2 linked regions of the Drosophila melanogaster genome follow. The gene in region 1 interacts genetically with each later gene. Each region holds a gene or a part of one and is shown on either strand. Other genes may lie near its edges.

Evidence for each region.
Region 2: of elav (region 1) and ewg, changing one suppresses a phenotype caused by changing the other (phenotypic suppression), as found in Drosophila melanogaster (one study listed by BioGRID).

What each region holds. Positions count from the first base shown.
Region 1 is NC_004354.4:520,004-525,233, reverse strand, and holds the start of elav (embryonic lethal abnormal vision), read left to right. Parts: upstream 1-2,007; 5' UTR 2,008-2,248; intron 2,249-3,537; 5' UTR 3,538-3,793; coding exon 3,794-3,794; intron 3,795-4,948; exon of another isoform or gene 4,949-5,157; intron 5,158-5,230. UniProt on the Drosophila melanogaster protein: Required for the proper development and maintenance of neurons presumably by affecting RNA metabolism.
Region 2 is NC_004354.4:276,446-281,545, forward strand, and holds the start of ewg (erect wing), read right to left. Parts: upstream 3,190-5,100; 5' UTR 2,740-3,189; intron 1-2,739. UniProt on the Drosophila melanogaster protein: May function as a positive regulator of transcription in developing and differentiated neurons, regulating common aspects of neuronal differentiation and maintenance. Requirement in the CNS may be higher than in the peripheral system.

The sequences.
Region 1 (5,230 bases):
CGCTAAGGGTGGCTTTTTCGGAGTCCCTCTCATTTGAGCCGGGAAAAAGACCAGACCCTCCCTTTCCCTCCCCAGCCACTTTCCAGCTTTGTTGTAACCTCGTGTTGTGCCTGCTTTTTAATCCCGCTTTGTTGTAACGCAGGCCATTTGCTGTTTTTGTTTTGTTTCTGGCGTGGCTAAAACGGATTATGTGACCCAACCCTTTCGATTTCGAGTCTCATTGTATTACATCCTTTTCCCAAAAATGACTAAAAAAGCGTATTGCCTATTTCTGGGGTGGACAGAATGAAACGGGGTCAGCACGTGGCCGCAAACTTGAAATACCATTATGGATCCAATAGGACTGTGAAGAGTTATTAGTGAAACATTTCGAACAAACTATTCCTTTAATTGAAATTTGCCAATTCCCCACTTAAGCATCGCATTTGCATATTTGTATGCTAACCAAACTCTCTGCGACGTCGATCTGTCTGAATCTGAATCCGCATATCTTTCGAGGGCAGCAATAGCGCCACCCCACCCCATTTCCGTTGCCACTAGCAGCGCACCACCCTTTGAAAGGACATCAAAAACCACCCCCTGCCCAAAGTTGCGTTACAATTCCCGAAGTGCAGTGCAGCGTACATAAAACATACAATGAAATCCGATAAAATTTTCTATGTCCTTTATATCCTCATAACATGCCCAACTATAAACCGAGCCAAATTCTTCTCGTGAAAAAGTTGCACACAACGCGATTTCACTGTACCTTACATTGTTCTGTAAACTGGAACAGAGCGTCCGACTGGAAGAGGCGAAGGAAAAAATCAGCACAGGGAACAGGAAGTTCACAAGGATTGGGGGTGTCCGAGGGTGGCTACATATATATGGCGATATATGGCATACAGTATGTGCATACATATACATACATATACACATATATGTATGTATGTACCATACTATGTGGCGTGTCTAGTGGCGCGAATAACGAATACAGGAGCAATGAAGCACACGAACGAAGCGAAACGAAACGAAGGGAAATATTGAAAAAGCCAGAATTGCATTACTTCAAAACTATACCGGCTCTTGGATATGGGTCCTGGGTCTCGGTTCCTTGCTTCTGGCTTTCGCTTCGTAGGGGGTGTACGAGCAATACTGCCAGGAGAAACCACCCTAGCCTTTGGCGTTGGTGGTTGATAGTGCAAAAATAATAATAACGGAAACGGAACCATAAACCCAAAACAGCCCTTACAACGCGACTGATTTGTAAGGATAATGGTCGCATGCATCATAAAACGGTTGACGACCTCGTCGGAAAGAGCCAACATTTTGCAATGATTTCCAATTGCTCCTGCTATCTAGGCCCAATGGGCCGCTAAGTACATATGAAGCATACATAGCTAAATACATATGAAGCATACATACATCGGGTTAACTATAAAACCAATGTGTTCTAGATGAGTTTGTTAATTTTACAAAGTAAGTTAGGGCTGCTCCAGTGGTTTTAAGTTGCTTAACTGGACAAGAGAACTTGGCTCTCTCCCCCATCTATCTCTTGTCTTCGGGAAAGGTAACCTCCATTTTGATCGGTTGAATTTGTATCAAAAAGCATGAAAAACTTTGAATACAGCATAAACCACTGAGAGAGCAGCCGAAAGCCAGGGGTGTATCAAAAGGGGTTCTTAGAAATATTCCACTTTGCAACGATTATAGACTCGTTTCTTATCAGACAAAACTTTCTCCACTTCTACGTGGTATTTACAGAAACAAAACTTAAGGTAAAATGTTAGGTGGCTATATATTAAAGCTATTAAAATATATTAAAGGTTTCCGGAATAACCCCCTATCTCGGCGCGCAGATACGCCCATGTCGCCACTCTTTCGCTCTCTACCTTCCACTCTCGCTCCGAACACCATTGCAACCCCGAGAGAGCTGCTCGAGAGGCAACTATGAGATATGAGAATGAGAGGTTGCTCTATGTGAAAATGGAAACCGAAACCGTCAATGCCTCAATTTCGCATTTCATTATTTCATTTCCACGCCAACCATCGTGCGCCGCGGTCTGAACGCTCCTGCCACAGAAAAAGAAAATAAAAGCAAGGAAAATTCTAATCGAATACCAAATATCGTGCTTGTGTGCTCTTTCCGCAATTGATTTTTTTTAAGTAGTGCATGACAATAACCGTTGAGTTGACTCCAACCGAAGTAACCATAACTGGAAGCTGACAACAGCCATTGGCCGGAATCTCATCTCACACCGAGCGAAATGTAAGAGTATCCCCAGGATATCCACAATTTGTGCAACTGAATGAAAGGCAATGATAACAATATCAATCAACAACTTTGAAACAGTACTTTTTTTTTGCTAATGATCGCGTCGCGCTGCATAATTGTGCAATTTACTCACTTATAATCCGCGTGTCTGCATATATCCATATGTACCTATATCTATTTTTTTGCTAGTGGGTGTGTGATGTGTGTAAGTTGTATACATTCAAACGAATATTAATAGGCAAAACAACAATATGCAATTCGATGGAGGAAAAAGCGAACCTCCCAAAGAGAGTGGCGGAGAGATGGGCGGCGGTTAGTCAGAGTGAGAGGGGGCGGCCAGTGCGGAGATAGTAGATGTGTTCAGATCTACGCCTCTGTGAGCTGTGTATCTGTAAATACTTGCTGCTCAAATTTAAATCTGTGTGTGTATGTGTGTGTGGGCTTGCGTGTGCGGGAGAGAAGAGCGCTGAGTGTTAGAGCGAGAGCCAGTTCCGAAGAGGGCGCAGCTAGCATATCGATTTTATGATTTCATGTGCAAGGAGCATTGTACGCAACAACAAACGGAGGAACACGACCAACTAACCGTTAGAAGTAGCCATTTTTTGAGCGCAGCGGAGAGGGTGGGCGAGTGTGTGTGGGTGGCGGAGTACTTGCAGTCAACAAAACGCCGGTTGCCATAAAAGCAAATGCACGCAGGCATGAATCAGACCCATGTCGTAGTAGCAATATTAAACATAGAGGATTCGCGATTCACAGCAAAGGAGTTTTTTCTCAAAAAACGACAACAATTAGTTTTTTTTTTCCCAGTGGTCGTCTGTGTTTATGCTTGTGTGGAAGAGAGCTCGAAATAGGTAGATATATACACGCGTATTTATTTATTATGTGTACATATGTGCTTGTAAAAACAATATCAGCCATACAAAGTTTGAGTCCCCTCCGCCCACCTCCTAACAACAACATCGATATCTAAATCGGTGCAGGTAAAGAGCGGTTGCTACAGGCCCAAATAACCTCTCTTCAGTAGAATTTTACCAACATCTCAAAGTATTCTCGCTGCGCCACATGTATGCGTATCTGCACGCAGATATATTTTTTGTATCGCCTGTGAAATATGAATTCAATGCTTTGGATGGGGTAAAATCGATAATATCGATTGGCGATAACAATCGCACGCACACACACAGGCCCGCAAACACGAACAACTAAAACTACAACAACAACCACCAAACCCATCGAATTTACCGCTTATAGTTTTGTTTTATTTTTGTTTTTGTCCACATCAGACGGCGACGCCAGCGTTTATTTATTAAAAACGATTACATTACAACAAACACCAAAGTCCTGGACAACCGAAGAGAGTGTGGGAGAAAATCGAAGCAGAGAGCAAGGAGGAGCGCCGTGAGAGCGCGCGCGCAAGGATTTGAGATTGCAAAGAGAACTTAGCAATTAGTTCGCTTTGTTTGTCCAGCCAAACAACAACAACAACCAACCAGCTCCCCAAAACCAACTACACACATACTCGCTCCCTAAACTAAAACAAGTGAGTATTGAAAGACGACGGGCCGAGCTGACGAGATCGCAGGACGAAAGAGAGAAAACTTTCGAAGGGTGCGGTGTCGTGTCAAGGCAACACAATCAAACCACTAATGCGGAATATTAAAAAAAAAAATTAATTTAAATCATAAGAGGTTAGCTATATTTGATATATATATGTGTGTATCCATGTACATATGTCTATGTTAGACAAGTAGCTCCTTCTTGCCGTATTGTAGTTCGGGTTATCGTTACCCGCCTCTAATTGGCTTGCCATGACGAAAGTGGGTGGTACAGGACGACGACGTGCGTGCGCGTGACCTTTTGACTCTTCCATAAGCGCCTCAATAAAAGGTGCGAGTCGGTACATACATATGTATGAGAATAGAGGATATTAAAAACTAAGAAAAGCATCCACCAAAGTAAAAACAGTAGCAACTAAAAACTTTTCAGTCTCAGCTAACCAGTCCAAACCAGCTATGTAGTTTTTAGCACGACTTTGGGAGTGTCGAATGCGTTAACTAAAGCTCAAATATATATCGAGACCCGCTGTAGTCCCTATATGCAAATCAAATTGCTACCATTTCCGCAGCGATCGCTTTTCGCGACAGCCCCCTCTCTCTGTCGCACTTAGTTCAGTGAACCAACACATTCGCTGGTTTCGTTCCGAGCAGCATCCTCTGTCTCTCTTGCTCAGCCTCTTCGCCGCCCCCTCTGCCTAAGCCTCTGTTTCTGCTGTCCGCACCCCTTACCAAGGTGTCATGTAAATGGCGGAGCCGGCTTAGGGGGTGGCAATGCCGTGCTTTTAACCCTTATCGGTGGCAAATGGCGCTCGTACATTTGGAGAAAATGCCGTTCTACGTTTCGTTTTGCTTCGTTTCGCCAAGCGAAGTATTACAACTTGTTTGACTAAGGGTGGGTCTACCGTCTATTGCTCATTTATGGTGTTTTGATGCTTTCTCAAGGGGTGCGGGCTGGTTTCTCGCATGTCCTGACCCTCTGGGTCATCCCTCTGTTCACCGCATTACATAACTGGGCGGGGTGCACAGCGCGACACACTCTTATGGAGAGAGCGCTGTAATTTGCGGAAAGGAGACGAGGGGGAGAAGGGACGCAAGAGCAGCTACAGCGCGCAGCAGTGCCAGAAAGTCCTGCGCTCGCCCCAGAAGCATCCTGTTCCTGTGACGCAGCGGATCTGGTCTCGCGTTCGCTCCACTACCTCCACTTCCTACACCTACAGTACACATATCACATGAACTTAAAACTAGTGAACGGATTAATTAAAAAGGAATCGCAAAACAAAAGCTCGCTAATCGCGCAGACACAGCAGAAGCTTAAATTCAGAAAAGTTTAGTTCTTCAGTGCCGAAGGTGTGTTTGCAGAGCTTTGATTTCTAGTGCGCGGGTGTGGGAAGAGAGGACTAAATAGAGACAGAGAGAGCGG
Region 2 (5,100 bases), 240 kb from region 1:
ACTTGAATGTTCTTATAACTTCGGTTAAACGTGCACTACTGTGTCTCCATTAAAGCTCCCTTACTTTAAACCAGAAGAGCTCAGATATATGAGCTGTTATCAACACCCCTAATAGGAATGTATAAGGAGAGATTCGGGCTCCGAAAAAACCAACCCCTTAAATCCCACACCTTTCACCGCACTGAATACACACGCAAACTCGCCCAGCTCGAGGTGCACCTCACGATGAAACTATCTTATGCAGTGTTTTTATTTATTTTCCTTGGATCTTTTTTAAACTACCACGCATGCACTACTCGAACTACCCAATCACCCCCGCGAAACAATGCAGTGGGAACACCACCAACTCCCACGTCCTTATAGGGGATGTGAGCACGACCCACTTGCGCGTGCCACACATATATCGAGAAAAGTGGCCCAGCAAAAGTGAGCACACTTCTAAACCTTGATTGTAATCAAAATAGGCATCTGATGATGAGAGAAAGGGGAAAAGAGTAGAGAGAGTATATGTTCACCCCCTAAGACACATACATATATACATTCTTATCCGGATTCTGAAAAAGGTGGGTGATGAAATTGTGTGAAGGAACCTAAAGTATTGCCAAATTAAAAAGCTCTGCGTTTGTTGGATGTAGTCTTCAGGTTTTCTTTCTAATTATAGAAGTAGGCCATTTTAGAGTCCTTTAAGATTTAAGGCCTACACAGTGATGCCCACAGGTTGCAGTAAGCGCAACTAAACTTTGTGTCGGAAGTTAGCAACACTGTAAAGAAGGCATTTGCGATGTATACTATTCTTGATCAGTGTCAACACCACAGGCGACAAAGCCACGTCCGTCTATACGTGTCTACGAAAATTATTCTCTTAGTTTTAATGTTATATGCTTGCACCTTTTCCAAGAGTATTCTTTGTCTTGCACATGGTATATTATTCGGTACGGAATAATAAAAAAAAAAATAATTTAAAAAAGTGTAGCATCGTTGTTTTAACATCTGTACATATATATACATAAGTATATATATATATATATACATATATACACTTCAATATATTTCGGTTGTAATTGCATCGAGAAGTCGAAAAGTCACAGGGAAATTGAGGAAAAAGAATCCTAGTTTGTTTTTATATTTCGCACAAAGCGTATACTCGTAAAAGCCGTTTTTGACATCATAATTTCGGTTTCAATTTGATCAAAATATTAGAAAAGAAATTATACTCTTGTTGTATCCGATCATAAATTCTTCTTATTCGGTGTTTTCTCAATTTACTATTTAATGTAAGCGTATGTGTGCTTTCGCGTTTTATATGTATTCTTAAGGCAATTTTTAGTATTCGTGAATATTTCATTATTTTTGAATATTTAAATTCTTTAACCCCAGCTTCCGTAAACTCCAAAAAGTTACTGCCGTTTACATCGAAGTATCGTTTATTCTATCTATACATATATAGGAAAATTAAAAATACCTTAAGACACTTTTTTATAATTTTAAGCATGCAAGACTAACAGCCGCAATAATTACCAAATTATGATAAGACAATTTGTTATGTTCTGCAAAGAATTGACCCCACCGTGTTTTTTTACTTTCCCTTTCCCACAATCGAATTTTCTTGGTACTGCTGTTTCTCTCTCTCCCTCTCTTAATTTCCCACCATACTCTTTTTTCTGTGCTGGACAGCACAGCTCTACAAAAATGAAATGATAACAGCGAAAATACAAACGAGAGGCAAGTTACGCATGCGAAGGTTGTCGCGGCAGTGGAGTCGGCGCAAAGACCACCACTGTTCATAGCAATGCAGTGACAGAAATATACATATGTATGTACATATACAACCAACAGTAAGAGTTCGTAGGAGTTTATAGTCGGGGAAACAGGAAAATACCAGCAAAAATGTAATCTTCTTGTTATGTCTAAATTTTTATATTTGTTTGAGCTATTAAATGTTCTTGACTATCTTAAACTCATCTCGAGTAGAAACTATTTTTGTTAGGCATGTGTTTAAATCGGCCATAAAATAAATAAAATACTCTTATTCCTTAGATTTAAAAGATGTAACAAATATAATCTGTAATTGTAGGCTGGCCGTTGCCCTGTTCCAATTGGAACTGTACTTTTATAGCCCACCCCAATACAACCTATAACAGTGGCGTCCTTCACTATTGGAACTGGAAAAACCCAATGAAGGTTGCTGTGAGCTAGCCATCCCGCTCTGTTTATCCATGTGTGTATCTACAAATTTTTCGTCTCTAGGGGGTGGTTTGGGTGTTTTTCGCAACCCCAAAAACGTCAGAATCACACAGACACAGATGCATCAAAAACACGCATACCTTCCAATGCAAATGGGAAATGCGTGTGCTGTCGTGCACACAATTGGAAGTGATACCTGTTTGGCGTTTCTATTCTACAACCCTACTTTACACATCATCCTTCCTATCGGAGTTTCCTGTCTTTGTTTTAACTTTTAGCTGAGGCGCATGGTTAAGTTACGGACACTCGCAGTTGGATTTTCATTTACGGCGCCGATGTAACGGTAACACAAGCTAAATACACCAGCACACATATATGATAACCTAATACACACACACAAGCCAGCAAGAACCGTTAGCTCAGAAACTCCGAAACTTTTGGGCATTCACTTATGCCACTACAAATCTCTATATACACATATAAATTATAGACTGTCACAGTGGAAAATCGGAAAATTTGTTGACCCCTACCACTAGTTTACACCCACATACGCACCTGTGTATTTTTGTTGTTTTTCCAGCTCCTTTATGATAACACACATACACACTCACAAAGAAAAAAAAGGCGCACGCACACGAACGCGCCGCCGCTATTGTGCATTGGTGTGTTTGCCCCTGCGCCGAAAATTTTCTTTGGCGTTTATTTATTATCACACTGCACATGCGAATATTCCGTGCATTTTACATTTGCGCACTGCCGTTTCTAGGTTGTAGCTCCAAAATTTCCCGCTCGCAAAGTTTCGCTGTTTTCCCTCACGATGCTTTTCCGTTAGCTTAGTTTTCAGCTGCCTGTCCCAGCACTTTTCCCCAAGTTTCGACGCAATTTTGCGATTTAATTTAGCCGAGGAATGGTATTTAGTACATGACAAATATCGATATACAGCACGCGTGATTTTTTCAGACGTCGATAATGTACACGCAATACATATCGCAGTCGAAGGAAAGCGGTCACTCTAAAATGCATAGGAGAAACGAGGATTGGCGGTCCCACTAATTGTGCTATTTAAGTTTAAATTCAAGTCCCCCTAGCGGACTTATATTAGTTGAAAAATTGATTGTATATTTTTGAGTAAGCATATAATAATCCATAAATATAATAATATAATAATAATTTTTGATATAAGAAATTTAAGTTTTCTGGTGCCAAAAAGATTTTAGTCTTTCTATGCAGGGAAAATTTGTTCCCTGGGCTTGCCACGTCCTCTATTACACTCACATATTTATAATAGTTTCATATTTATTTAGTTTGTTATTTTTTAGAAGAGTTTTTAAATTTCTCTCTAGCACTCCACCATCTCCGTATCTGATAAGAGACAGTTTATTAGTAGCTTTTTTTAAAGGTTTATATTATGAACGCTACAAAGAATATACAACATTTGATCCACGAATTAATCAGATGTAGTTATTAATGTAACAAAACTTTTAGGATACCCCAAAATAATGGTAAATTTTAAACAGTCGAAAAATTTATTATTCGGGAGTCGAACTGCAATTACACGTAAGCCCTTCACAAGGCAGCTAGCAATATTTAAAAAGGAGTAAGCTAGCCAGGCCAAATGAAAAACTGACATACAATCAACTTCGTATTTCACACGCGGGAAATTTAACAAAAAATAAAAAACAAAAAAATAGTTTAGGGATATGAAATCCTGAAGGATTGGTAAACTAGAACGACCGAAGACGACTAACTGCTTGCCACCAAAAATGTTGGGTTTTTATGTCCGTCGTCGGCACTCACACAATAAAATTCATTATTAGGATGTATATAGTGATAAAAGGAATTGTTTTTTTTTAACACAGATTGCCCGTATGTAAAAACCAAAGAATTCATATTATATAAAAAGAAACCACAAGTTGCTTATCGCTGTGAAATGAGGCTGGTAGTGCGCTTGCACTATGGGGAATTTAACATGTTTTATTGGCATAAATTAATATCTCGTAAACTATTTAAGATACGATGAATTTAGAATTATTTTGGCAAAGTGGGTGCCCCGCCCACTCCCATAAAATTTTTTTTTTAAATCAATATATTCTATCTAATCCACCAATGTATTGGAGTTACACCATGTTTTAGATTGTCCACAATCGGTACAAACTTAAGTCTCTTAACATTTTTATTGATAAAAAAATCTTTCAGAGTCGCATTTCGTACACTTCTATCAGGGCCGCATTGCTGATTGCTACCTAAAAATGTAATCTTCGCGAAAAGTCACAATAAGTAGCATTCGCAAAAGTCGCGTTAACCGTATGTGTTCTAAGTAGGTAATTAATCACTCTAAAACATTGACTAACACACATATCAAAAATTTTTTGAAACTCAATTAATTTTCGTAAGCACTAAAAAAGAAGGTCATCGATGGCACGTGGTTTTTAACATTGATTAATTTACATTTGCGTTACATAACTTAAGCCTTGATCTTAATCCGTTAAGAAAAAAGTGTTCAACAATTGAAACATTTTTAAAAACACATTTATGCCAAAAAACGAATCAAATTCCCCATAGTGGCTTTGGATTTATCTGAAACTTGGCCCTACTTATTCCTTATCGGCAATTCTTCCGGAATTCTACACGAACTGGCCTTATCGGTTCTGCATAATCGAAACTGGCAGTGATCTTGAATTCAGTATTTAATCCAGCTTGGCAACTTAAAACTGAATTGGGTCAAAGGGGTCGAGGCGTGTACTATTTCCGTTTATTTCACAATTGGCAATAATATTCTTCTATATCATTATGAAATTGACCACTGGAAATTTTTGAGTAGCATAAGACAAATTAATTGTTTTTACTTTACAACTATTATTTAAAAGAAACAAATAAATATTCACGAAATAATTTATGTTGCAATTCATTGCTTTC